Stegostoma tigrinum: one gene and its partners. The protein of the gene in region 2 interacts with the protein of the main gene of each other region in a pairwise test. Links are inferred from orthologs where the notes say so. Each region holds a gene or a part of one and is shown on either strand. Other genes may lie near its edges.

The links.
Region 1: the proteins of egfra (region 2) and eps8a interact in binary tests that used the Homo sapiens proteins (3 or more experiments, as listed by UniProt). The link is inferred for Stegostoma tigrinum from reciprocal best matches to the Homo sapiens genes EGFR and EPS8.
Region 3: the proteins of egfra (region 2) and stip1 interact in binary tests that used the Homo sapiens proteins (3 or more experiments, as listed by UniProt). The link is inferred for Stegostoma tigrinum from reciprocal best matches to the Homo sapiens genes EGFR and STIP1.
Region 4: the proteins of egfra (region 2) and ptpra interact in binary tests that used the Homo sapiens proteins (3 or more experiments, as listed by UniProt). The link is inferred for Stegostoma tigrinum from reciprocal best matches to the Homo sapiens genes EGFR and PTPRA.

The regions. Positions count from the first base shown.
Region 1 is NC_081378.1:42,685,922-42,693,044, forward strand, and holds the start of eps8a (epidermal growth factor receptor kinase substrate 8a), read right to left. Parts: upstream 3,053-7,123; 5' UTR 2,888-3,052; intron 1-2,887. UniProt on the Homo sapiens protein: Signaling adapter that controls various cellular protrusions by regulating actin cytoskeleton dynamics and architecture. Depending on its association with other signal transducers, can regulate different processes.
Region 2 is NC_081355.1:101,250,791-101,257,907, reverse strand, and holds the start of egfra (epidermal growth factor receptor), read right to left. Parts: upstream 3,108-7,117; 5' UTR 3,012-3,107; coding exon 2,933-3,011; intron 1-2,932. UniProt on the Homo sapiens protein: Receptor tyrosine kinase binding ligands of the EGF family and activating several signaling cascades to convert extracellular cues into appropriate cellular responses.
Region 3 is NC_081395.1:4,430,391-4,438,005, forward strand, and holds the start of stip1 (stress-induced-phosphoprotein 1), read right to left. Parts: upstream 3,064-7,615; 5' UTR 3,007-3,063; coding exon 2,992-3,006; intron 1-2,991. Other genes in the region: ADP-ribose glycohydrolase MACROD1-like, read left to right, coding at 7,519-7,615. UniProt on the Homo sapiens protein: Acts as a co-chaperone for HSP90AA1. Mediates the association of the molecular chaperones HSPA8/HSC70 and HSP90.
Region 4 is NC_081354.1:170,237,223-170,245,115, forward strand, and holds the start of ptpra (receptor-type tyrosine-protein phosphatase alpha), read right to left. Parts: upstream 3,075-7,893; 5' UTR 2,970-3,074; coding exon 2,935-2,969; intron 280-2,934; exon of another isoform or gene 10-279; intron 1-9. UniProt on the Homo sapiens protein: Tyrosine protein phosphatase which is involved in integrin-mediated focal adhesion formation.

The DNA of each region.
Region 1 (7,123 bases), on a different chromosome or scaffold from region 2:
GGACTGACATGTTTCATCTGTGGAGGTCAGCTTCAGGTGCACACAGGCGTAGACGTTTTAAAACAAAATATTGAGAGCACTTACATCCATCACCTTCCTGATTTTTTTCTGAAGCGATGTCAGAAAGCAAAGGCAGCACAGTGAGTCAGTGGTTAGCACTGCTGCCTCAGTACCAGGTTCAATTCCAACTTCTGGTGACTGTGTGTGGAGTAAGCATGTTCTCCCGTATCTGCGTGGACTTCCACCAGGTGCTCTGGTTTTCTCCCACAGTCTAAAGATGTGCAAGTTAGGTGGATTGGCCATGTTAAATTGCCCCATATTGACCAGGGATGTACAGGCTAGGTGCATTAGCTGTGGGACATGCAGAGTTACAGGAATACGGTGGGATGCTCTTCGGAGGGTCGGTGTGCATTTTTGGGCCGAATCGCCTATTTCCACACAATGGGGGTTATATGATTCTATAATCAAAATTAACTTGGACTTAACCCAAGAAGCAGAAACTACCAGAACAAACTGAAAGTCAGTGTGCCTTTTCATTAATAGACATACTAAATCAGATCACTCCAACAATAAGGAACAATCAACTATTTTATATTTCTCTTCATTAGCACCTCACTGAAGCTTTAAACCAAATAGTTTAGAAATATAAACAGAGTTTCGAAAGGGTAACATGAAGACTAATCTCTCAAATTTTAACTCAGCTGATGCATTCAAAGCAAAAATCAAATGAATCAAAGCAAAAGGATGTCCTTTTGAGGTAAACCAATGTTCACGTACACCTCCAAACCCTTTAAAAGTTATTAACCACCCAAAATGATTCCTACTTCATCTCAATTAAAAATCACACATCAATCTGCATAACAGATTTCAAATCAAGTACATTCAAGCCCAAATGGTCAATCATGAAAGCTGCAGTTATCACTTTCGTACATCCTTTTCTTGAAGTGACAAAAGGACTCTGACCAAAAAAGAAAATTGAGAAACATTATGCACTTCTTCATAATTAACAAATATAACCCATTGTTGTGAATCAGATCTAGGTGCTTTCAATAAGGTCCATCACAAAACCAATCTCAAGCACAAGAAAGGAAATAGCTTTTTATAAACTTAATCATGCCTTAAAATTCCTCTGCAAAATTGGTTTGCTTTTACACAAGTTTACATTTACATCTAATCCAGTTCTCACAGCAGTCACTATCAGGTCACCACAAACAAAAACAAACTCCTGCTTTAAAATTTCAATTATCTACATTAGTTGATTCACACAATATGTTTTCCTCCAATTTCAAATTATCTTCTACAAAAATGATTTAGAAGATGACATTACCTTTGCCCTTTCATGACCTCTTTGAAGATCATTTACCTTCAGCCAGCCACAATGAAGCTGAACAGACCCAACCTATACTGAGATTTACAGTTTAATTTGCAATTGCACTAAAAAGGAACTACATAAGTTTAAACAGACAAGATGAAAAAATTAAACTGTCCATAAATATTTTTTATGAACTACATACAATATCCACATTTCATAATATTTCACAACTCCAGAACAATTTAATAGAAGTTAAAACTAAAAAAACTACTCCAAAGCATCTGTGCATGTTTTTTCTAAAAGTAGTCGTGAAAAAGTTATGTTTCGAAGGGGAGGTTCAGATAAAACAGGAATTAAAAACTGTTTTGGAACACCTCATTTCAGTTATTCCTGTTTAAAAGGTGTTCTTATGTCAACATCAGTATACCACCATACGTTTACACCTCTGGTGTACAGTTGCTATAGTTGTACCAGACCACAGGATGTTAGTCTTTTAACCTCACACACCACACCTCCGAGAAGGGGAGAAGTTAAGGAGGGCAATCCTTCCTGGTAACCTTAGCCAATGTGGAAACTAAACCAATGCTACTGGCCTCACTCAGTATTAGCAAGATAGCCAACAGAGCTGACCAACCTCCAACTTCTGGCACACAATAATAGTCACAGAATATGACAAATAAACTCACTATACTTTACAACAAAGAGCAGCAAGAACAAAACAAACTAGAGAGTTTCTTTATCAACAATATGCCATTCATATAAAAAGTTAATCAACCTTAGCCAACATTGCTCAGTACAAACAAAAAGATCCAAAGCAACAGACCACCTTTTCACTGGCCAGAGTCCAGGGGGCCCGGGTAACAACAGGACTCACCCCTGCTACGGGCAGATGCCTGACCCTCAACTCTCACCCAAAGAAAATACTTCTGCATGACTTCGATATCCTCAGAACTAAAACGGTTTTAAAACTTTACCTGGAACCAAATCCGTGCCTGGTCATGAGTTCCTAATCTTACCACGCACAGCGTACGAGGTCCCATCCCGCCGCTGTTAGACACACCCAAAACAGGAGGTCCCAAATCACCTTCCCCAGGAGAGGAAGCTCCCACTCCCTCCCTCTCCAGCCAATGACAGGATGGTGGGAATAGGTTAAACAACAGCCTTCAACAGGGAGTTGGATAGGGATTAAAACAAAAAGGGGGAGGGGAGAAGAGCAGGGCTATAAAGAGCGTGTACGGGGTCAACGGGCTGAACGGCCACACTATTCAGTACATATAATTTTATATTTTTTTTTAAATGAGTTAGTTGTGTTGTGTGGAAAGTGGAACAACGTTATTAACACACCGGGTGAGGGGGTCCCTCTCTTTACCGGGATGGGGTCTGGGGTCTGGGGTCTGGGGTCTGGGGTCCGGGGTCCGGGGTCCGGGGTCCGGGCCCTGGGTGGGGTGACGCTCCTATCCCTGGGCAGCTCTCCAACTTCAGCCGCACACCCTCCCCTTCTCCCTCCGAGCACCTCGGGGGCCGATTCCGAAACCCCCACGCCAACCGTGTCCATCGATCCCCAGCCCCTCTCACCTCAGCTCACGGCCTCGATCGGTATCTCAGTCTCCAGGCACCTGGGCACTTGCCGTCAGCGAGCAGCGCCCGAATTGCGCCCCCACCCCCCCCGCAAAACTCCTGGGGCACAGACGCGAACAACCGAAGCCGCTCGCGCAGCGCTCCCGCGTGCCCCCACACCGCCTCGCGGGGACGCGCGTCCGCCGCTGAGCGCGCCAGCGCCACCTCCCGTCAGGACCCGCTCGTCTTCGCTTGCAGGGCTATCCTCAGGTGCTGGAGTTTTCTGCCCGGTTCCTCCTGCTCCTTGAGACGGTGGGTGGTGGAAGTTGAACCTCTGCAGTCCATGTGATGAAAGAGATCCCCAAACCCCTGCCTCTTAGGGTTTTGACCCTGCGCCAAGTATAGAACTGTACAGACCCTTTGGTCCACGATGCTGTCCCAAACTTTTATCCTAATCCTAAGGTCTATCTAACCTCCGCCGCTACCTTATACTATCATCCATATGCCTATCTCATAGCCGCTTAAATGCCGCTGAGGTCGACTCCACTACCCATTCCGGCAATGCATTCTACGCCCCAGATCTAGATCTAATAAGCGCCTTATGGCTTTGTATCTTTCCCGTTCTGCATTTTTCTAAGCCCTTCTAGTTTTATGCTAGCCCTTGTCTCTTTAATTGTCCATGGCTGTTTTCGCGAAGTGGAGCTCCTCCCTTTCAGGAATAAACTGGTTTTGTATTGTGTTAAATGTTTCTTTTAAATATCATCACTGCATTCAGTTCTTTTACCCATCAGTAGATTTTCTGTGAACAGATTACAGGTTTACTGTGCACAGTCTCTGTCTCGTTTTGTTTAAATTGGCCTTACCTAAATCTAAAGCTCCAGTAGCTGATTCATGCTTTTTGATTTCCCATACTATGTTGAATTCAATAATACCATGATCAATATTTTATTAATGTTCATACACAATTAGGTTACATATTAAATCCAACTCTTCACCCATTATGAAATCAAACATTGCTTGACCTCTTGATGCATCCAGAACATACTGCTGTAGGAAACTATGCCAGACACGCTTCTGAAATTCACTGATATAACAAGGTGTAGAACTGGATGAACACAGCGGGCCAAGCAGCATCAGAGGAGCAGGAAAGCTGATGTTTCTGGTCTGGACCCTTCTTCAGAATGTCCAGACCCAAACACCAGCTTCCCTGCTCCTCTGATGCTGCTTGGCCCACTGTGTTCATCCAGCTCTACACCTTGTTATCTCAAATTCTCCAGCATCGGCAGTTCCCACTATCTCAGAAATTCACTAACTTTCCGTCAGCTGCTTATCTGCCTCTATGCTAAAGTTAAAAAATCACCATCAACATTATTCTGGCTTTGCTAATACACTCACCTAATTTCTGTAATTATACAACCTAGCACTTTGAAACATTTCCAAAAATTAGTCCTAAGTGACTATGACAAAAGTATATTCTCCCTCCTTGTCCTTAATTACCTGCTTTCTTTGAGACAGTTGACACCCCACCACCCTCTTCGAACACGTGTCAACTGCTGTCTAGATTGGTGAGAATACACTTGGGTTCTTAATATAATCATGGCGCAGATTGTAATACTTCTCCCACTTCTACACCGTCACTTATGCTGCAGCAGGTATCTGTCCTCAGTCCCTCCGACTTATCATGTATACACTGCTGTTTGGCAAATTCATCCCAAAAGCACAGCATAATTTTTTTGCAAGCATGCTGAAGACAACCAATTGTAATTCATAACTAGCTCTCTGTTCCAAATGATTACAATGCTTATTCAATATCCAATTCTCGACGAACAGGACTTTTCCCCAAATGATTTTTGTGAAGATTGAAGTCATGCCAGTTTCATGCCGCACTCCAAGTTAGAGATGTTGCAAAATATTGGTATAACCTACCCACTGATCATGTCTTCTCCACTGGAGACAAAAAGTTTGCAATTCATTTGCCAAGCTCGGCGAAGAACCAACAGCCACACTCCAAGTCCCACTCATTTGTCCCTGATTGTACCCGTGTTCTTGGCAGATGTCTGAGACCAAGCCCAGCCTGCTTGTAATAGATAACACAGTGCAGAGATGGAGGAACACAGCAGGCAGCGTCAGAGGAGCAGGAAAGTTGATGTTTCTGGTCGCCACCCTTCAGAAAATAAATGCTGCCTGGCCTGCCTGTGTTCCTCCACCTCCACACTCTCTGACTCCAGCATCTGCAGTTCTTACTATCTTTCAGCCTACTTGTAGACTTGATATCACATTTGATTCCAATCTCATTTCATGCCTCATTAAAATCACTTGTTTCCACCTCCATAATATTGCCCAACTTCTCTTTGGTCTCAGCTTATCTGCTGCATTCGTGCATGCATTCTATCATTATCTCTCGGGTTCACTTTTCCGATGCGTAACTGGCTGACCTCCTACATTCAACCACCATAAACTTGAGGTCCCAAAAATTCTGCTTCCATTTCTTAACTTGTTAAGTTCTGTTCATCTATCAACGCTGTGCTCATTAATTTACATTGCCTCTGGATTACGTAATGTCTTAATTTTGAAATTTCAATGCTTGCGTTCAAATCCATTCATGGCCTCACCCCTCCTCATAACTATAATCTCCTCCACCCTCACACCTCCAGCAAATATCTACAATCATCCAATTCTAGCCATTAGGCCATCTCTGATATTGACCGCCACACCATTGGTGACTGTTCCTTCAGCTTTCTAAACTCTGAACTCTGGAATACCATCCCCACAACTTTCTGTTTCTCTGTCTCACTTTCTTCTTTTCAGATACTCCTTAAACCCTACCTCTTTGACTAAACATTTGGTCAACTGACCTCATGTCTTCTAATATGCATCTTATAAAGTTCCTGTGTAGCACTTTATGCCATTTTATTACATTAAAGTTGGATAAGTTGAAGTTGTAGTTTTGAATCCATGCTTCTGGTGATAACACCATTAAAGTCCAGTAGTTACTGAAGGGGAAATGACCAAGAATGCAACCCTGAAGTGGCCCAGAGATGTTCAAGTAGTCATTGAAGGATTGGGGAAATACGAGAGAGATCCAAAAACAGTGTTTTGTGAACCAATTGGCTGAGAATTTGATAGATGTGGGAATTTGGTGAAGAGTGGGACGGAGGCACTCTTTTTAATCTCACTGTTTTACCTCCAGTAGCTGGTGAAAATTCTTTTTGTTTTTCCCAGATAGTTGATTGCAAATTGCTGTTACTTCTTTTATTTATTTTATTTATCAACTAAACTAATTAAATCAAGATTTAAAAGATATGGCAGGGCTATTGGTATAAATAGACAGAAAATGTGGGAATACATTGGAATGACAATACAGTCTACTGTCTACAGCTTCAACCCAGATCTGCTGAGCTGATGTCTTTGATGAAGACGTTGTGGGACATCAACAAAAGGGAGATTCCTCAGCACTTAGTTCCGGTGGTAATGACATCCCCCAGGTGAGGTAGAACTTTGCAAATGATCAATGACCAGGCACAGGGGATTATGAATGTCAGTGAGGCAGTTATGCAAGCCAGCATGTAGTGATTCCTTTGAAGATTGCAACTAGTTAAATATACTTGCAGTCAATGTAGAGAAAACTAAGGACTATAGTGTCTATGACCAAACTGATCCAACAGCCTTTCTAAGCTGTGCAGCATCTAGAGGTTTCTCTGAGGCTAACCATCGTACAGAATGCCAATCATGTTGGGGAGGAGGGTAATGTTGTAATTAGAAAGTATGTGGTAGAGGACGGTACAGTGAGGGCATAGATATTATTCACCACAGCTATGACCAGGAGCACTGAAAGGTTGTGATACATGCCTTCTGTCAATGTTTGGGCACGTCCTTTCTCAGTGGATTCTTGGAACAATAACATCAGAAATACTAGGTATCTTGCTCTCTGAGACAGTTTGAGGAATTCAGATTCAAATTTAAATGCAGAACCTCAAAGGTAGTCATGACCTAGCAAACAACAACCTCATCTAGTGAATGAATAAAAAAGAATCACTGAGACTGAGAGTCTGTTACTAATAATTAGTAGTTAATAAGTAATAGAAGGTTAATTCATAAATCAATTAATTGTGTCTGTACAAAATATAGTCATGAGGAGTAAAATGAGAAGTAAATCATTTTCTGATTGTGCAAAGCATGTGCACTTCAATAGAATAATTAGTACCACAATCAGAAATAAATATTTTAGACCTGTTCACCATTGCAGAGTTACAT
Region 2 (7,117 bases):
GTAGTGAAATATACAATGCACCTGAATGTAAATATGTACAAATAATTTCACCCTTTCACATCAAATGTCTGAAAAGCTGGAAATCCGTTAAATTTATGCTGAAAGGAGGATTTTTAAAATCTGCTTAGTTTGTTTGCACTTAATCTGTGAGGATCTTCTAAAGAGACAGAGTTAATCATATACTGCCACACATGACCTTGCCAATGTCTAAACTCATCACCCTTCTGGCGGTGTCACAGCAATTAGCATTTCTTTTAAAAAATCAACAGTGTTCTGTTCTTTCTAGGGGGAAATGCAATTGAAGGGAAATTCAATAGGTGTACATTAGTTCATTTCATGGGGATACATTTATTGAGGAGAGAAAAGTTAATACAGTATTGTGTTAAACTTTGTCTGGCTTTGGGTTGAAATACATTATATTATGGCTGCAGTGCACAGAAAATGCCAATCAAACATTAATGCTAATTAATAACATCACTGGTGCTAAACTAGTGGTACACTGATCATTTTTCCGTGAGATACATTCAATCACATCAAGCCGACAGGATGAAAGACCTTTATTGGAAGTAAGGCTCCTAATCTCAACTAATTTGGCCAACTTTACAATTTATTGAGGCAGTACAAAATTGGCATAATTCAACATTTACGGCACAAACTCACAATTTAATTCAGAGAGGCACAGATACAATTTGTCAAAACGGTAAAGTAGGAAATGCTCTTGTAGGCTCAACAATAATATAGATTGTGTCAGAATTTTTACCCAATATCCTATACAGTATAAATATCGCTGTCTGAAAGGATCCTAATAGCAATGACAGTGATGACAGTGGCAAACAGAACATAAACAGTAGGCCATTCAGCTCAAGTCTGTTCTGTTGTTCAAGCAGATAATTGTTGACCTGCACCATAATATCTACATTCTGCTACACTGAGTATTCTTGCCCATCAAAAATCTAGTAATTTCAGTTCTAACATTTTCAAATGACCTAACCTCAAAAAACCTTTTTGCTGAGCAGGGAAAATAGCTTCAGATTGTTATTATCTTGTGTGTGAAAAAAATATTTCCTTACATTATTCCTGAACAGCCTAGATAGCCCCTAGGTTTAATGTCCCCATGTTATTTTGCCTCCCTCACAAGAGAAAAGAATCCTCTTTCTGTTTTATCAAATCGTTTAGACATTGTTAACATTTCAAATAGATTACTGTTTAATATTCTATCATCGGATGAATACACGATTAATCTATACAAGCTGCCCTCATAATTTAACCTTGGTTTTACAAGGCAGAAGGAAATGGATGGGGATGTATATAAAAGTAATTTGTATTTGCTTGAGTTATTTTTCACACACTAAATGAACCAGCAAATTTTTAATGGATTTTAACACTAAATGCTCAAGTAAAATTATGAACAATTGCAAACAATCACAATATCAAGTTCATTTCCATTGCAACCTAGCTTCTGCCTTTACAACTTTGTCTTAATGCAATGAGCAATTCACAAATGAGTGGTTCACTGTTATGGGCCAACTCACAAAGTCACCACCTTATCCTTATATTTCCTTGGAAATGGCACTCCCTTAAATGCAGAACAAAAGATTGCTGTACTATCAGATCATTAAGGAACTTTTATAATAAAACAAAACAGAAATTGCTGGAAAAAAACCCCTCAGTAGAACCAGCAGAATCTGTGGAGATACAAAACTGACATTTCACCAACTTCAACAGTGACTGGCTGCCCTGCCAAGCATTTCTAGTATCTTCTGTATTTATTTTGTATTTTTAGCACCAATGCTATTTTAATTTAGTAGAAAGAGTTCGTTCCTTTAACTATTTAAATTAGACAATTTAAACTTTTAAACCAACTAGTTGACAAATATCCTGAAGATGCCACTCAGCAGTCAGCTACATTATCAGGACTTAAAACAAAACTCAGTAGAACACAATAAATTATTTGTTCCTGAAGCAGTCTGCTCACAACTTCCTTGTGTATAACTTCCATAGTCAACTACAAGTGCAAGAAATATTCATCATGTTGATGAGACATCAATGGACATTTGGGTTACATTTAGCAGAACACAGCATCACAGAGCTGCTACGGCAGATGTTACATGTCTAATTCCACAGGGCATTCAACACTTCAGCTAACTTTTTTAAAATGTACAGATTGCTTCACTGAGTGCAACTTCGCCCCCTTTGTAGAACGCTACAAGCTTGTGAAATGTGAATCAAGTTCATGCTATTGTGCATAGTTACAAATAAAGACAAAACAATTGACACATTTTGCTACAGCTAACAAAAAAAGGATCATTGCATTTTCGTACGTTGGCATCGCACACCCTTTACTTGCAATAATCCATGGTTGAACCTTGAGATCCTGAACCAATCGGACCTTTTTATTTGAGCTGTGCTTTAAGTGATAGTGCACGCAATTATGCAATCATAAATGTGTATAAACTGACATAAAAAGGCGAAGAAGGAAATGCCTGCGATCAGTAATGGGTAAGAATCTGTGCTTGTTTAGGGAAACTCAAACTTTATGACCCTCTCTTGGCAAAACAAACATCCCGTAACTCAACTCGTTGCTTACAGAGTTTCTTACAGGTTAAAGTCCCTGAGCAAAAGGAACGAAGCACGAGAGAGGCACTCAGTACCAACTGATCAGATTGCCCGAACACTCTAACACACTCGCCCCAGCTCTCCGGATGGATGAGAAAAGGAGATGACAGCAAAGTGACTTTAAGTCCCCGGAACACTTCAGTTCCCAGCAGCAAACATTCCCGCACTCGGCAATCTCGCTCCTCCCCACCTACTGCCCTTGCCTCCGGACCCTTTGCTCTGATAAGTTCACTCCAGGAGGTGTTTAGGAAGCGGAGGGGCAGGGGCAGCAAGACTCCGCTTTCAAGGTTTCTCTCTCTGTCCCTGTGGTTCTTACCTTCCCTGGACAGGGACTCGCTGCCCAAACTTAAAAGGATTAGGAGGTGGACGCAGCCCGGCAGCAGGGAACAGAACATGGTTCAGCGGCTTCCCTCTGGGCGATCTCCCGTGTTGAGCACACAACAGGGTAGGCAGCAGTTAGCGCTGAGTTTAGCTAGCCCAGCCCCTCTGTCTGTGTGTCTGCCCCTCCCTCCCTCTCTCTGCCTGTGTCAGCCTGAAGCTAGCACTCAGCCTGACGTCAATTCACTGGGAGGAGAGAGAGAATCCAGGTGAGACTGACACTCACAGGGTCCTACACTTCCCCTGGGCACACAGAGCACCCTCCCTGGCCACATCGAGCACCCTCCTCTGGTATTGCTTCCCACTCACATCTCCTCCCAGCGGTTGCTCATCACTGGATGGCTCTGTGAACCAGAAGTAGCAGCCAGTCCTCAGACTTTCCCTGTTAACCCTTCAGGGCAGGGCGAGACCTCTGAGAAGCAGCGAGCAGGGTAAATACAAGTCATGCTTGAAGGTGATGGAATGGTCCGAACGCGACCGTCATTGCTGAAAGTGGAACTGGAGTTCAGCAGTTTCACTTTTTGGATAGTTTTTTTTCTCGCTTCGCAGCCACACAGATCTCACTTGTCTCATTTTTCTTAAAATTAAGGACAAGGAGAAACGCTTTTGGCAATGTGTACGTGAATACACCTGCGAAAAAAAAAATTCAAGGCATCTTGCAAATATAAGTTCTTTGCAGAGACTATTATCCTTCCAAATGGTATCAATGACACTAACTTATAGGTGGGAAGGTAGAATTTAAACATATTTAAGGTATCCTCCATGAGTATGTTAAAAAGACTTTTCAGCACCATTAATGACCTCTATTATTCAGAGAAGGGTGTGTGGAGGAAGGAAACATACTCTAGTGCCATTGGCACCAGCAGGTCCTAAAGTTCATAAATAATGTAAGCAATTTTAGTGTAAGGCTTCCCTTAAGAGGTAAAAAGAAACTCGAGAGAGGAGCAACGCATACAGACTGAAGTCTACACTGTGAAATGTTAAATACTCATTACACCTTTTCAGCTTTCAAACATTATATGTTTAAATGAATGATTTACAGAAATGATTGTGTATATTTCGAAAGTGAACTATTACGAAGTAGCATTGGAATCCCTGCAATGTGTATGAGGATACAAGATGCCCTTTCTTAAACTGCTGGACAAACAAACAAATTATTCAGGAATAACAAAATTCCAGCCCTCAGCACAGTCAGTAGGAGGCTACACCTATTCTTATATCTAACAGCATCAAATAATCGTTTCAGCTTGTTGTGAAGAGGCAATATCTGACTTAATATTAAAACACTGTAGAAATGCTGCTTCTTTTCTTTCTGCTTAAGTCCAATTGTGATCATTCCTGAAAAGGAACAACACTATACCAGTCACAGCTGCATTGAACACTTTTCAAAATTGCTCTTCTATCAGGTTCACATAAATTCTTATTTGCTCTGTGTTTGCACTTGAACTTATGTTACATTGAGAATCTACAACATTTTAAATTGCACTTTACAGACTATTGCTTTTAGATATAAACTTTCAAGTGTCTGAAAAGATTACATTTCCAGGATATAGTTTAAGCAAAATAGTACACAGTGTACAGTAGAAATGCCAGACTTCGCTTTTCAAAGAAACTAGTCCAGGAGATTTTATGTAATTTTTTTCAATATAGGAGGCAATGGTTCATGGCTGCTATGGCAGCAAATAATTGCAAACATTTTGCAAAATCAGTGCAAAAAAAAGGCTGAAGCTTTCGCAGCAATACTTAGCCAGAAGTGCCCAGTGGATGATCCATCTCGGCCTCCTTCAGTGATCCCTAGCATCACAGACACCAGTTGTCAGTAAATTCGATAGACTCCATGTGATTTCAAGAGGTGGCTAGGACACTGGATAGTACAAGGGGTAAGGGCCTTGACAACATTCCGGCAACAGTACAGAAGACTTCTGCTCCAGAACTTGCCACTCTCCTAGCCAAGCTGTTCCAGTACAGAGACAACACTGGCACCTACCCAACATTGTGGAAAATTGCCCAAGCATGTCCTGTACACAAAAAGCAGGACAAATCCAATCTGACCAATTACTGCTCCATCAGTCTACTCTCAATCATCAATAAAGTGATGGAAGGTGTCATCAACAGTGCTATCAGTACCTGCTAAGTGATGCCTGGCTGGGTTCCATCAGAACCACACAGCTCCTGACCTCATTGCAGCCTTGGTTCAAACATGGACAAAAGCGTTGAATTCCAGAGGTAAGGTGAGAATGGCAGCCGTTGACATCAAGATTACATTTGACTGAGCCGTAGCAAAACTGGAACAAATTATTATCGGGGGCAAACTCTCTGGTGGTTAAAGTCAGACCTGACAGATAGGATGATGCTTGTAGCTGTTGGAGTTCAGTCATCTCAGCTCCATGTGGTCTCTGTGAGAGCTCGTCAGTGTAGTGTCCTAGGCCCAACCCTCTTCTGCTGCTTCATCAACAACCGTTCCTCCACCATAAGGTCAGAAGTGGGGTTGTTCTCTGATGATTGCACAATGTTCAGCACCATTTGAAACTGCTCATGTCAAGTGGTTAGTAATGTTTATGTCACAGAAATGCCAGGCTATGACCATCACCAACAAGTGACAATTTAACCACTGCCCCTTGACATTCAATGGCATTACCATCACTGAATCCCCACTATCAACATACTGGGGGTTATCATTGACCAGAAACTCAATTGGACTCACCACATAAATACAATGGCTACAAGAGCAGGTCAGAGGCTAAGAATACTGCAGCATATCTTCTGACATCCCAAAGTCTGTCTACCATTGGCAAGGCACAAGTCAGGAGTGTGATGGAATACTCTCCACTTGCCTGGATGAGTGCAGCTCCAACAACACTCAAGAAGCTTCACAACATCCAAGACAAAGCGACCCACCTGATTGGCACTTCATGCACCCACTTCATTCACCACCAACCCTTATTTGCAGCAATGTGTACAATCTATAAGATGCACTGCAGAAATTCACCAAAGATCCTCAGACAGCACCATGCAAAATCACTGATAATGGGAACTGCAGATGCTGGAGAATCCAAGATAACAAAGTGTGAAGCTGGATGAACACAGCAGGCCAAGCAGCATCTCAGGAGCACAAAAGCTGATGTTTCGGGCCTAGACCCTTTCTCTGATGAAGGGTCTAGGCCCGAACCATCAGCTTTTGTGCTCCTGAGATGCTGCTTGGCCTGCTGTGTTCATCCAGCTTCACACTTTGTTATCCTACAATCCAAAATTACAACCACTTCCATCTGGAAGGACAAGGGCATAAGATATTCGGGAACGCCACCACCTTCAAGTTCCCCTCCGAGCAATATATTGCTGTTCCTTCACTGTCATTGGGTCAAAATCCTGGAATTTCCTCCCTAATGGCATTGTGGGTCGGGCCACAGTAGGTGGATGGCAGCGTTTCAAGAAGGCAGCTCACTATCACCTGCTCAAGGGCATCTAGGGACGGGCAACACCCACATCCTATTAATCAATAAATTAAAAAAAGGTAATGACATTGAAGGATATATTAAATAGTTTAGTATCATTGCAAGAAGGCTTTAGTATAAATTCAATTGTTAATACATGAAGCTATGAAAATAATACTCATTTATGCCTTTACTATCATGATGGAAAGCTGACATGATAGTGTGCTCAGATTATCCAGGTCTCTAAAGTAAATCAATCTAGACTGCAGAAGACTTTTGCTAAGGCATACATAATCTGAATATACAAAGAGGAAAATAGACAGCAAAACAGCTCAGAGATTAGTAATATTAAACTTTATTAAGTCCTCCAAAAGTGAACCAACATATAACAACAGCTTATATTTGTATATTGCTCCAAGGCCCTTCACCATGCCACCTTAAAAGAAAATGTCATATCACGTCTCATGAAGAGATATAGATGTCCAAGAGCATGGTCAGGGAAGAAGGCTTTAAGGAGTATCATAAAGGAGGAAGGAAAATTCTACAGACAGCAGGGTTTAAAGAGAGAATTACAGAATTTGGTACCACAGACAGCAAAGGCACAGGGAAGTAACTAAAATTTTCAAGATGCTGGAATTAGAGGAACACATGTATCTTGAAAGGTTGTAATGCTGGAGATAAATTAACTTTTA
Region 3 (7,615 bases), on a different chromosome or scaffold from region 2:
GGCAACTTATACACAATCATATGGCATGAAAACAGACCCTTCAATCCAACTAGTTCATGCTGATCGTGATCCCAACCAAACTATTCCCACCTGCCTGTGCTTGGCCCATATCCTTCTGAACATTTCTTATTCATGAACTTATCCAAATGTCTTAAACATTGTAACTGCACCTGCCACTCCCCTAAGAAGTTCATCCCACACACAAACCACACTGTATAAAAAGGTTGCTCCCATATCCTTTTGAGAATCTTTCTTCGTTCACCTTAAAAATAGGCCCCCCAGTCTTGAAACCCCCCACACTGGCGAAAGACTCTTGTCATTCACCTTATTTATACCCCCCAATTTTACAAACCTCTGTAAGATCATCTCTCAACCTCTTACACTCCTGTGAAAGAGGTCCGAGCCTATCCTTATATCCTGTTCTACATTACCCAAGATCCTACCATGAATGGTCCAAGTCCTGCCCTTGCTTATTTTATCAAAAGGCAAAAACCTTGCATTTACCCAAATTAAGTTCCATCTGTTACTCCTCAGCCCATTGCCACAATTGATCAAGATCTCTTCGTAATCTCAAGTAACCTTCCGCACTGTCCACTATAACCACCAATTTCAGTATTGTCTGCAAACTTATTAACTGGGCCTTCCATATTCTCATCTAAATCATTTATATGTAATGAACAAAAGCAGACCCAGAACCATCCTTGTGGAACCACCAGTAACAGGCCTCCAGTCCGAAAAACAACCCCCCCACTGCCACTCTGTCTCCCGTTGTCAAGCCCATCTTGAATCCTATGTGATCTAACTTTACTAAGTAGTCTACCATGTGGAACCTCGTCATAGGTTTTACTAAAGTCCAAATAAATAATGGTCTACTGCATTACCCTCAATCTGCTTGGTTACTTCCTCACAAAGCTCAATCACGTTTCAGAGACATGGTGTCCCGCACACAAATCCATGCTGACTATCTGTAATTCTTCCTGGCCTCTCTGAATGCATGTAAATCCTATCTTTTACAATCATCTCAGACAACTTACCCACCAATGTCAGACTCACGGGTTTATAGTTCCCAGGCTTCTCCTAACACCAAGGCATAACATTAGGCACCTCACTGGTAGTTACGGATGGTACAAATTTTTCCTCCCTAACTTTCCACAAGGTCCTTAGTTACACTAGATCAGGTCCTGGAGATTTATCTTCTGCTATATTTTCTAAAGACCTCCAGAGCTTCCTCTTCTGTAATGTGAGCTGCCTTCAAAACATCAATATTTATTTCCCCGAGTTCTCTCACCTCTATTTCTTTCTCCACAATAAAAACTGACAGAAGAATTTTAAATGGATATTTTCTATCTGCTGAGGCTCAATACAAAGACAACATATTTGATCCTTAAGGGGCCCTACATGCACTTTCTCCCTCTCTCTCTCCAGTTGCTCTCTTGCTCTTAATGTACTGATGGAATTTCTTTAGATTATCCTTAACATTACCTGCCAAGGCTCTCATTCCCTCTTTGCCTTCCTGAGCTCCCTCTTAAGAATGCCCCTACACTCTTTATGCTGTGCAAGAGATTCATTTGAATCCAGTTGTCCATATCTCATGATTCTTTATTCTTGACTAGAATCTTAATATCTTCATTCATTCATTGTTCTCTAATCCTACCAGCCTTACCCTATAATCAGAGGAACATAATGACTCCAAACTCCCGTTATCACATTTTTGAAAGCCTCCCACTTATCACATGTCCTTTTACCCATGAGCAGTCTACTTCAATCAACTTCTGAAAATTTGTGTCTCATATCATTAAAAATAAAGTTTTAATTGGAAAAAGGTTAACTTTCATAGAGGGCCTATCCTTTTCTAGAACTATTTTCAGTCCAATAGAATTATGATCACTTGTCCTAAAGTGTTCCCCTACTAACACTTCAGTCACTTGCCCTGTATTACTACTCAAGGAGGTCACATTTTGCTCCTTCTCTAGTCAGAACATTTATGTATCAATAAAAAAAATTCCTGAACACATTTAACAAATTATTCACATTCAAATCTTTAACACTCCCAGTCAGAGTTTGGAAAATTAAAATCACATATTAGAACCCTATTATTATGTAAACTGGAGAGTTCTCTACATATTTCTTCAACATCCCCCAACTACTTTGGGAGGGGGGGTAGTTTCATACAATCCCATCAACATGATCATTCCTTCCTTGTTTCTAATTTCTATCCATATGTTTTCACTGGACAATATTTCAGAAATATCTGCTCTAATTACTGCAATAACATTCTTCCTAACCAAAAACACCACTCCCCCCTCCTCGCCTGTCTCCCTTCTTCCCACAGCACCTGAAACCCAGAACACTGAGCTGCCAGCCCCGTCCTTCCCTCAGCCAAGTTTCTGTAATCACTATGACATTCCAATTCATGTTCCTCAACATGACAACAGCTTATCTGCCCTACAAGTAAGAACACTTGCATCGGAATAAATACAGTTCACTTCTTCAGAATTATCGTGTTCTCAGACTTGCTCTTGTTCTTCTAACTAACTTGTTCTTGCAAGGCTCGCATCCATCTTTCTATTAACGCTGTGACTTAGGATCTCTCATAGTCTCAACGAAGACGTTGGTCCCTTTCCAGTTCAGATGAAACCCATCCTTTTTGAACAGGTCTTTTCTGTCCCAAAAGAGATCCTAATGATCCAAGAAACTGAATTCCCAAACATTATAACATCTCTTTTGCAATTGATTTATCTCTTATATTCATTCCCTTATTCCAGCTGGACACCAACAGTAAACCAGAGATTACTACTTTTGAGGGTTTATTTTCTACCTAACCTCACGTTCACGTTGTAATGGAGCTCCACCCCAGTACAGCCAGTGCAATAATAAATCACAGGACCCATATATCGTCCTGCTAACGTCCTTAGTTTAGGACAGGGTTGTAGTGCACTTTTTTTCAGTGCTTTCTCAAGCGTTTATTTTGCGTTCCTTCCTCTCTCTTACCTTCGCCTGATCCATTACCAGTTCGATCAGCTCACCACGCGCCTTCTCGAACTTACCAGAACTCACGCCGGAAATCCCCGCCCTCACCTCCTACACGCTCCCATTGGCCGCAGCCCCCAACTGTCTCCCTCTCGATTGGTCCAATCGTCAGTCCATCTACGGGTTGCATCCAGCCCCCACAGTCCTCATTGGCCCAAATCTTCAGGTTCTTTCATTCTGATTAGTCTGCCTGGCAGTCCATCATCGGACGCAATCCCGCCCCCTCCTTTCACGCTCTTCTTATTAGTTAGGGTCTTCAAGTTCTTTTCTCTTCCGATTAGTCTAATTGCCCGTCTGTCTCCCGGAGGCCGAGCCACGTCCAAGGACGTTCCCTATGTTCTCATTCAATTGGCTCATTCAACAATCCATCAAAGGAAGCCTGCCCGCCTCTAACGCTTCGCACCCCGTTGGTCCAGCTTTCCGAGATATCGCTTTCCGATTGGCTGTCCTACCGTCAATTACAAAATGTTCCCCACTCATGCCGGTCGTACCGCCTGTTAAATGGTCAGGGTTGGGTAATGGCACTGTCAATCAGGACGGCATGGCCAATTGGTAGAACAGCTACGCCCTAGGCCCACCCACTCATGCCAATGGGCTGACCAGTTTTTAAAACGGCCAGAAGAACATTCTAGAGCACAGCAGTTGGAGGCAGTTCACTTTGAGGGTCTTTACAAACAATTTACCTCCAAGATTCAAATAGAATGTATTCTGCGAATATTGGGATGATGAGAAGCGTATGAGGTGGAACAGGCACTTGTGCGTTGCAAAATACCTATAATATTTAAATCAAAATGTTTGTATGGTATTTATATTGAAGAACAAAAATGGGAATAAATAACAGCAACATCCCACATACCTCCTAACTAATTTCTAAATCTGTCTCTGACAGCATATGCAAATTTTAAAATGTACATAGCTGATCAGAACTTTGACAGATTCACTGAGTTCCTACAGAGTGAAAGCAGGTCGTTCAGCCCATTGAGTCCACCCAGACCCAGCCGCTTCCCCTATCCCTGTAAACATGCGTTCCCCATGGCTAATCCACCTAGCTTGCAAATGGCTGGATACTTTAGTATGGCCAATCCACCAAACCTACACTACTTTGGACTGTGGGAAGAAACTGGAGTACACCTACACCAACATGGGGATTTTATGAAAACTCCACACAGACAGTTGCCCGAGGCTGGAACATGGAACATGGCATTGGGAGGCAGCAGTGCCAACCACTGAGGCCACCATGCCACTCAATTTGATTTGAAAACAATGGAATATGCAATACAAATCAACTTGTCTCTGCAGGTCATATCCAACTAATATGGTTGTACCATCGTAATATTCACACACGTATTCCACGTTGGATCTTAGGATCCCCGGCAGTTGAAGGCAAGGTTGAAAATGGTAGTATGTTGGGAACAGGGGGTGCTCAAGAGGATGGAATCGGAGAGAAGAATGAGAGAAGGGTGTCGGGGCTGGAGGAGATTATTAAATCTGCATCAAATCCACTGTTAGTTTCAATGAAGGGTCACTGGACCCGAATTGTTTAAATTTGCTTTCTCTCCACAGATGCTGCCAGATCTGCTGAATTTGTTCTGCAATTTCTGTTCTTGTTTCAGAATTTTGATCCTGTTGGGTTTAATTAAGCTCAAGCTCATTGTTCACCACGTATTAACATACCTTCCATTGTCTTTAAATCCTTCCTAAATCATATTTATGTGTCATTTTATTTTGAAACCATCTAGGTAATTCACTTCAACATGTTCTGTAGGAGTTCCACATGCTGACCACTCTGAGTATAGAAGTTTTCCTGATTTCCCATTTGGATTCCTTCACAGTTTTGAATTGTCTGACAAGTGTGGATATTTCATCCACTGCCTATTATTTGCTTCTCTTTTCTTCCTACCTAAATTTTAAAATTTTATCCCTAGAGTTTGAAACCCTGAAAATAATTCCTGTTTATTGACCAACTAACTCTTTAGGTGGTTCATGATAAAGTTCTTAAATCATCTTCTCGGCTCCTGTGAATCACCTGAAGGAATGTTTTACAATATTTAGTGATGCTCAACGAATGTAAAATTGTGATGCAACAGGTTCAAGTGGACTTTCATCTGAAAATGAAGAATGTGTAGGGTTATGGGAAGAACGCAGATGAATTACTGTAAGTAAGTTGTTCTTTTGGTATGCCAGCGCAGAAATGATGTGGCAAAATAATGTAACCATTCTGTGATACAGAAATAAGTGGAAGACAAGTTGTGAGAGGGATACCAACAGTTTACAGGGAAACATTGATAGGTTAGGTAAATGGGCAAAAACAGACAAATTAAGTATAATGTGGGAAAACACGAAGTTGTTTGTTTTGGAAGGCAGAACAAAAGAACAGTATTATTTAAAAGAGAAAAACTGCATAAACACAAATGGACTTGGGGTAACTCAGTGTGAAGCTGGAGGAGCACAGCAGGCCTAGCAGCATCAGAGGAGCAGGAAAGTTGACATTTCAGGCCAGGACCCTTCAAAAATGAGGGGCAGGGGAAGACAGCTCTGAAATAAACAGAGAGGAGGGGTAGGGCTGGGGAAGGTAGGTGGGATGGTGATAGGTGAATGCAGGTAGGCAGTGTTGGGGATTGGTCAGTGAGGTGGGAGGAGTGCATTGGTGGAGAGAACATGGACAAGTTGTGTCAGGTCAAGAAGGCAGGAATGAGAGAGGAGGTTGGTCATGAGTGTGGAAAGATTTTGAAATTGGTAAAGTCCATACTGAGAGCATTGGATTATAGGAATATGAGGTGCTGCTCCTCCAGTTTCTGGGCGGTGTCATTGTGACACTGGTGAAGGCCCAGGATGGACATGTCACCCAGGGATTGGGAGTGAGAGGGGGATTTGAAATGGTTCGTGACTGGAAGGTATTGTCTTTTGTTGCGAACAGAGCACAGGTGCTCTACAAAGCATCTATGAGCCTCCACTGGGTCTCACCGATGTAGAGGAGGCCATGCCTTCCAGTCACAAACCATTTCAACTTCCCCACCCACTCCGTGGGTGATATATCCATCCTGGGCCTCCTCAAGTATCACAATGACGTCTCAATTTTGAAAGACATGTCCTGATCTGAAATGCCAACTTTTCTGCTCCTCTGATGCTGCTTGGCCTGCTGCTCCTCCATCATCAGCAGTTCTTGCTATCTCTGAGGGACTTAAGGGACTTGTACATGAAACACAGAAAGCTAGCACACAGATGCAGCAGGTAATCAAGAAGACTAATGGAAGGTTGTCCCTTATTTCAAGGCGATTGGAGTATAAAAGTAGGGAAGTCTCACTGTAAGCGTATATGTTGCTAGGTAATCACATCTAGACTGCTGTGGGTAGTCTGGACCCTTATTTAAACTGGGACAGTTTGGAGAAGGTTCATTAAGGATGATCCCTGGTATGGAGGGATTGTCTTATGAGCAAAGCTAAATAAGTTGGGACTCTACTCACTGGAGTTTAGAAGAATGGGAGGTGATCTCATTGAAACGTATAGGATCCTTCAGGGGCTTGACAGTGTAAGTGTGGAGAGGATGATTCCCCTCAGGGAAGCGTCTAGGTCTAGAGGGCATACTTTCAGAATAACAGGCTGTCAAGCCTTCTTTTGCCACAGGTAGCTGTGAAGGGTATCAGAGATAATGGGAACTGCAGATGCTGGAGAATCCAAGATAATAAAATGTGAGGCTGGATGAACACAGCAGGCCAAGCAGCATCTCAGGAGCGCAAAAGCTGACGTTTCGGGCCTAGACCCTTCATCAGAGAGGGGGATAGGGAGAGGGAACTGGAATAAATAGGGAGAGAGGGGGGAGGCGGACCTAAGATGGAGAGTAAAGAAGATAGGTGGAGAAGGTGTGGGTGGGGAGGTAGGGAGGGGATAGGTCAGTCCAGGGAAGACGGACAGGTCAAGGAGGTGGGATGAGGTTAGTAGGTAGATGGGGGTGCGGCTTGGGGTGGGAGGAAGGGATGGGTGAGAGGAAGAACCGGTTAGGGAGGCAGAGACAGGTTGGACTGGTTTTGGGATGCAGTGGGTGGAGGGGAAGAGCTGGGCTGGTTGTGTGGTGCAGTGAGGGGAGGGGACGAACTGGGCTACCAGGGAACTACAAATCCCAAAAGGCAATGCTCCTTGAGGCCGCTCGCCCAAATTCTGCTTTCCGATTGGTTCAGGCGGGCGCAGGCTACAAATTCCAGAGTGACGCACCAGGTAGAACTCACAGCCCACACTCCCACCGATTGGGATAACAAGCGGGAAACTACACCTCCCAGAGGGCGACGCACCCGACTTCCGCCCCCTCCGCTGCCTAGTTCGCTTGAGAGGTCACGTGTGCCGGAAAAGCTTGCTTCACCTGGAGTCCCCCTTCACAAAATTAAACGAACACCCCCCTCCAAAAAAATACAAAAATCATTGCAACGACCTCGACAGCGCCATCAGACATCGAGTACAGAGAAGCGATAAAGGTGCTCGGGCGGAAACGAAGGGATGGAGAAACTGTTCGCCGTGCTGAGGCGAGGTCGTTTTCCTTGGGGCTTGGGGCCGTTTCGCGCGCCGCCCGTTTCGAACGTTTTTCGAATCCAAC
Region 4 (7,893 bases), on a different chromosome or scaffold from region 2:
CAATAGTACCTCCGAGCACTGGAGGAGCTTTGCCACTGCAGCCAGTGCCAGCAGCGAACACTGAGGGGGGCCCCATCTATGCCGTCACCATCGCTTCTAGTCGCTGGGAGGAACCATATCAGCTGCTGCAGCCACCTCAGACCATGCTCTTGCTGCTGCTGATGTGCTACTGCTTCTTCTGATCACTGAGGGGCCTGCGAGGCTGCTACCTGCTACCATTCCTCTCATAGTCCGTTGTCACTGATATGTCGAAGCGTCCGAATAACCCACTGCAAAAGGCTTGAAAGAAAAGAAATATGAGAAAAAGCAGAAAAGAAAAACAGCAAATGTAAAAAGAAAGAAAGCAAGCAGATGAAAGTGGGTGAACCCCAGGCTCGGGAGCTGACATGCAGCCCTGCTACTCTGCCGCTACGAATTATGAACTTGAGAATTGATCCTGTGACGCATGTTAGGCTAACTAACTTACAGTTTTCTGCTTTCTGCTGCCATCTTTTCTTCAAGAAAGGTATTAACATTTGCTATTTTCCAAACCACTACTGCCCTTCTAGAATCAAAGGAATTTTGGAAGAATACAACCAACACATATCCTCATTGTACTGCCACTTCTTTTGATACCCAAGGATGTGAGCCATCTAGTCCAAGGATTTAGGTGCCACTATTGCCAACAGTCTTTTTTAAGCACCTTTTCCCTGGTAATGATGATTGTTCTAAATTCAACCTTCTCTGTCATGTTTGATTTTCAATAATCTTTTGGGAATTGTCCGAGTCAACTTCCATGTAAAACCCAAAATAATCAGTTTAAAATCTCTGAGATAATGGGAACTGCAGATGCTGGAGAATCCAAGATAATAAAGTGTGAAGCTGGATGAACACAGCAGGCCAAGCAGCATCTCAGGAGCACAAAAGCTGACGTTTCGGGCCTAGACCCTTCATCAGAGAGGCTCTCTGATGAAGGGTCTAGGCCCGAAACGTCAGCTTTTGTGCTCCTGAGATGCTGCTTGGCCTGCTGTGTTCATCCAGCTTCACACTTTATTATCTTAGTTTAAAATCTCTGCCATTTCTTTATCTTCCAACATCAATTCTCCTGACTCCCTCTCTGGAGGACTAACTCTGGCTTTAGAGTCATCAAGTTGTACAGCACGGAAGCAGACCCTTTGGTCCAACTTGTCCATCCTAAATTAAACTAGTCTCTTTTGCCAGCATTTGGTCCATATCCCTCTGAACTCTTCCTTTTCATGTAGCAAACCACATGCCTTTAAAATGTTGTAATTGTAACAGCCTCCACCACTTCCCCTGGCAGCTCATTCCATACATGCACCATCCCTCTATGAAAAAGTTGCCCTTAAGGTCTCTTAAATCTTTCCCCTCTCACCTTAAATCTAAGCCCTCTAGTTTTGGACTCCAATATCCTGGGAAAACGATCTCAGCTATTTCCCCCTATCCATGCCCCTCATTATTTCATAACCTCATAAACCTCTGTAAGATTCCCCTCAGCCTTTGAGGCTCCAGGGAAAATAGCTCCATCCTCTCCCTACAGCTCAAACCCTCCAACTCTGGCAACATCTTTGTAAATTTCTTCCGCACCATTTCAAGTTTGACAACATCTCTCCTACTGCAGGGAGACCAGAACTGAATGTACTATTCCAAAAGTGGCCTACCAATGTCCTGTATAGCCGCAACATGACATCAGAACTCCTACACTCAATGCACTAACCAATGAAGGCAAATGTACTGAACACCTTCTTTACAATCCTGTCTACTTGAAACTCCACCTTCTAGAAAGACCAGTTCCTTGAGGAACTTGATATTGGTCTCAGCAGAAGTCGCAAGACAAAACATGTCTAACTAGTGCAAAAGTAAAACTTCTAAAACAGAATTGGAAATTGCTGGAAAAACTCAGGAGTTCTGGCAGCATCTGTGGAAAGAAAGCAGAGATAACGTTTCAGATCCAGAGACCTTTGACAGCCAGACCCGCTGAATTTTTCCAGCAATTTCAGCTTTTGTTTTTTTATTTCCAGCATCTGCAGTTCTTTGGCCTTTTTGTTTAATGTGAGAACTTCTAAAATCTTCCTTTTTCCTGAATGATGGAACATCCTACAAAACTATTCCGTATTTCGCTGAGGGTAATGTTTCAAGTTCCACAGTCATGTCTCCCAGAGCCCTTCACAATCTCATATGTGTCAATGCGATAAATGGAACATTGTCTTATCAAAGTCCTGCACAATCGTAGCAAGGCCTCCTTTATTTTTGTATTGCAATCGTGAACAACATGCTATATGCTTTTCTTTCCTAAATACTTGCTGTACCCTGCAAGCTGTGTTCCTTGGTCAACTATATGTTCCTCTGAACATCAATGTTTATAATGTGCATTTGTTTAAAAATGTTTTGATTTTTCCATTCTCAGGTCTAGAGTCAATAACCTCACAGAATTCTTCCAGCACAGGAAAAGTCTGGCTCTCCAAAGAGCAGGTAATGTCATTCTTTCCGTAACCTTGCACTTTGCGCTTTGAAAAAACACAATCGAGAATCCTTTTTAATGCATCGGTTTCTATCATACTCTCAGGCAATGCAATTAGCTCTGAACTACTTGCTATCTCTTAAAGCCATCTCAGATATCACTTTTGCTTCATCTACTAATTACTTCAAATCTGAGCCCTCTTGGTATCAATCCTTTAATAAGTGGGAAATGTTTCTCCTTATTTACACTGTCATGATCTTTCACAATTTTGACTGTTCTGAAGAAGGGTCAATGGACCTAAAACGTTAACTGCTTTCTCTCCACAGATGCTGCTAGACCTGCTGAGCTTTTCCATCAGTTTCTGTTTCTGTTTCCAGCATCTATAGTTCTTTTGGGTTTTATTTGCCAGTGACTTACCAAGTTAACTGGACTGGATGTAAGAGTAGAATACTGTATATAAGTATTGAAATAATTACATAATTTGACATCCTGAAACAAGAAGCTTGCTCATTGTAATAAGCAGAGCTAAGTCTTCATGAAGTCCAATCTCTGGGGCACCGCTGTATTTCAGCCTATATAATGCTGTTGAAACATGCTGTTTGGCAATGCAGTTGGCTCAGAACAGCTGTAAGCAGACGCTGAATAAAGATATAATAAAAAAAAATCACACCATGCATTCTCAAATGTGATAAACATAAAAGTTCACTTCAAACAGACTCAGAGACACAAGGGGTAAACTGAAAAAGACAACCATCATTGGAATACTAAGATAATAAAATGTGAGGCTGGATGAACACAGCAGGCCAAGCGGCATCTCAGGAGCACAAAAGCTGACGTTTCGGGCCTAGACCCTTCATCAGGTAGTGCTGGCACAGTGGCACTTTCACTGGATGAGTAAACCATAGGCTCCGACATAGGGGATATGGGTTCAAATCCCACCATGGCAGAAGATGAAAACAGAATTCAGCAAAAATCTCAAATTGAAAACTAGTCTCACGGCAATTGTGTAACCACTGTTGATTGCCATTAAAACAAAACTTCACATATTTTTTAACGATGAAATCGGTCATCCTTACCCTATCTGTAAACTATGCCCCTCCAAACTCTTAGCAATGTCGTTGACTCTAAAGTGCCAGATAGCAATGGTCCTATATCAATGCTGTTTCAAACTCTAATAGGCCACATGGCATTGACCCTAGCATAGGAAAGAACAGGAGCAAACTAGCTGGGGGCTTGAGTGAAAACTGGGAGAGCAGTCCCACTACAACAGTTATATACACAGGTTCAAATCTTAGATGACAATGGCCTGAACATCATCACTGGCGCTGGACACATCCAGACCAAATGGCTGGAAAATGCCAAGAGAAATGACAGAACAGTGATCCAGTCTCAGGCAGCAGTTGGCCTAGGAATCTTCAACATTAACTGTGAAGCCCATGAAGTTGCATGGCATCAGGTTAAAAAAAATGGGCAAGGTATCCAACTGCAACACCTCCTGCTGCCATCTAATGAATCATTTGATTAAATGACCATTTAATAAAATATTCTTCCACATTCAACACTGCAGATACAGAAAGCACTCTGGCTGAGGACTTCAAAGTTGATCACCAAGATCACGTCAGCAGCACCACGACTGTCCTGCAGGGCTGTCAGTCTTACTTTGGTGGTGGACAAACTGTTGAGAGGTTGGATAACACCTGTCACTTAGAAAGGCATGGACTGGTTGGGGATAGTCAGTGTAGCTTCATCCCTTACAAATTTGATTGATTTCTTTGGAGAAGTGGTAAAGAGGATTGACAATGGTACAGCAATGGTTGTCGTCTACATAGATTTTAGTAAGGTATTTGACAAGGTCCTAAATGGCAGACTGGTCAAGAATATAAAAGTCCATGGGATACAGGTTATTATGTCTAATAAATGGATCTAAAATTGGCTTAATAATAGGAAATAAAGGGGAATGGTCAATGGCTGCTCTTGGGAATGGAGAATTGCCTCAAGTGGTGTTCCACAGTGTGCAGTTTTGGACCCCTGCTGCTTGTTTTATACATTAACTTCTACTTGAATAAAATAGCAAATTTACTGTGCAGTGGTCAGCAAAGAGGTTAGCTGTAAGCTCCAAAACTATATAGATGGGTTGGTGCAATGGACACAAAAACAGCAAATGGAGTTCAATTCTGTTAAAAGTGATATAATTTATTTAAGGAGGTCAAACAGTAAAAGATAATACACAGTAATTGGGAATACAGTGAGTGGATAGATGACGTGAGAAAGTTTGACAAGTGCACAGATCCCTAAAGATAGCGGTACAGGTTGATAAGGTTGTCAAGGAAGTATATGGAATGTTCTGCTTCATTGGCAAAGGTACAGAACTCAAAAGTCAGGGTGTAATGATGAAACTATACAACACAATGGTGAGGTCACAAATGGAGTACCATGTGCAATTTTGGTCATCACATTTCAGTAAATACGTAACTGCTCTGGACAGAGTCAGAGACCATTTAATAAAATGTTACCTGGTGTGGCTAATTTTAAAAATGTTATTCATGGGTGGAGTGTTGATAGCTCAGCTATCATTGGTTGCCCATTTCTAATTGTCCTAGGGAAGGTCCTGATGGTGTTGAACTGCTTTTTTGAGTTGTTTCAGTTATTGGGGCTTAGGGATGGAAACATGAATGGGAGCTCCAGGATTTTGCCCCAGAGACAATGAAGGAATGACAATATACTGCCAAGTCAGAATGGTGTGTGACTTAGAGTTAATAGTATTCTTATATATCTGCAGCACTGGCCCTTCTAGATGGTAGAGGGTATGGGACTGATCGGTGTTGTCACAGAGCTACAGTGAGTTACTGTGGTGGATCATGCAAATCATGCATACTGCTGGTACTGTGTGTTGGTAATGAAGGGAGTGGATAGGGTGTCAGTCAAGTGGGCTGTTTTGTCCTGATGGAGTCTAGTTTCTCAAGTGTTGTTGGAGTGTACTTATCTAAACAAGTGAGCGTATTCCATCGTGTTCCATGTACACGGTGGACAGGCATTGAGGGGGCACAAGTTGAATTACTTGCTGCAAAACCTTGAGTATTTTAGCTGCTCTTGTAATCAGTATTTATGGAGCTGGTCCAGTTCATTTTCTGGCCAGTGGTAACTCAATGTTAATAGTAGGGGATTCAGCAATAGTAATGCCATATAGTGTCAAGGATTATGATTAAATTCTGTTTTGTTGTAAATAATCATAGCTTGGTGTTTGTGTGGCACAAATAGGACTTGTCACCTGTCTTCCCAAACCAGGATGTTTTCAATTCTTCCTGCAGACACTTCACCTGCTTCAGTACTGGAGGTGTCATGAGATGTTCTAGAGTGCAAGTCTTCATTGCTATTGCTGGCATGTTGTTAGGCTCCTCAGCTTAGAAAGATCCAATGCCTTCAGCCTTCTAATGGTATCATGTGGAGTGAATAGAATTAGCTAAAAGCTGACATTTATTAATGGCCACTCTGAATGGATCATTCACTCAGCGCATCTGGCTGAACAGCCTTGTCTTTAGTACTGATGTAATGGCTTCCACCTTGGTTGTGAATGGGGTTATTTGGGGAAATTTGTTTAATTGTTTGCCACCATTCATAAGTGACCAATTATACCATATTAATGCCCAGTTTTGAGTTGCTAGAGATAATAGGAACTGCAGATGCTGGAGAATCCAAGATAACAAAGGGTGAAGCTGGACGAACACAGCAGGCCAAACAGCATCTTAGGAGCACAAAAGCTGAGGTTTCGGGCCTAGGCCCTTCAGAGAGCTCTCTGATGAAGGGTCTAGGCCCGAAACGTCAGCTTTTGAGCTCCCAAGAAGCTGCTTGGCCTGCTGTGTTCATTCAGCTTCACCCTTTGTTATCTTGAGTTGCTAGATTTGTTCTAATTTTGCACAGTGGTAATGTCACACAAAGCACCAACAAGTTATCTTTAATATGAAGATGGGACTTCGCTTCCAGAAGGACTTAGAGAGAGCAACACTACCACACTCCCTCCACCCTCAAAGCTATTTCAGGAGAAAGACAACACTGGCACCTTGTCAACAAAATGGATAAATGCATAACTATATACTGTCCACAAAAAGCAGGCTAAATCCAACGTGACCAATTACTGCCCCAAGAGTCTTCTGCATCATCAGCAACATAATGGAAGTAGTTGTCGACAGTCTAAACAACTGCTTTTCTTTTATTCATTCAAGGGACGAGGGTATCGATGGCTTGGGGCATTTATTGCCCATCCCTAATTGCCCAGACAGCCGTTAAGAGTCAGCCACATTGTTATGGGTCTAGAGTCACATGTAGGCCAGACCATGCAAGGATGGCAGTTTCCTTCCCTAAAGGACAATGGTGAATCAGGTCGGTTCTTCCAACAATCAACAGTGAATTCATGTCATCATTAGATTCTTAATTTAATAAATATCTGAAATTCAAATTCCACCATCTGCCATGGTGGGATTTGAACCCAGATCATTATCCAGGTCTCAGGATAAACAGTCCAGCGATAATACCACTAGACCATCGCCTCCCCGATACTGAACCCTAGTTTGGGCCACTCAGGTCTTGTCCATTTTTGGGCCAAGACTACTAGAAGGTCTGAAATCACAGGGTGAGATGGGAGTGACTGCCATTGATAGCAAGGCTGTATTTGACAACAGTACAACATCAAGGGTTCCAAGCAAAACTGTTGCCAATGGTGTGATTAAAACTTTATAACTTTACATACATCACCACATTTTTAGAATTTGGATTCAAGATAGAAGCAGACGAATAAGAAGGATGTTCTTTCAAAAAAAAAGTTGAGTTCTTCCAGAACGTGTTTTATATCAACAGGTAGGTGTCCCAACAAGGGACAGTACAGTACTAGATCGAACTCTGGGAAATGAAGCATGTTTCTTGGTTGAGGTGACATTATGAGCACATTTTAGTAATAGTAACCAAAACATCGTGAGTTTTCAGTTTCTGGAAAAGGAGAACAATGATCTGCAAGATAGGCTTTTGGATTGGAGGCAGGCAGATTTCATTAAAATAAGGCAAGATGTGGGCAGAGAACAGAGAACATAGAACAGGAACAACCCTTTGGCCTACCATGTCTGTGCTAACCATGACGCTATTCTAAACTCACCCCAGCTGGCTGCACATGGCCCATGGCCCATATCCCTTCATTCACTGCCTGTCTGTCTAAATGCCTCTTAAATGTTGCTATCATAGCTGCTTCTACTACCTCTCTTGGTAGCAAGTTCCAGACACCTACCATCCTTTGTGTTTAAAAAAAAACTTTCCTCACACATCTCCTTTAAACTGAACCTCTCGCACCTTCAGCCTCTGCCCCCTAACATTTGACATTTCCACCCTCCAAAAACAAACTCCTAACCATTCACCCTATCAATGCTTTCATTCTTTTACTGACTTCAATT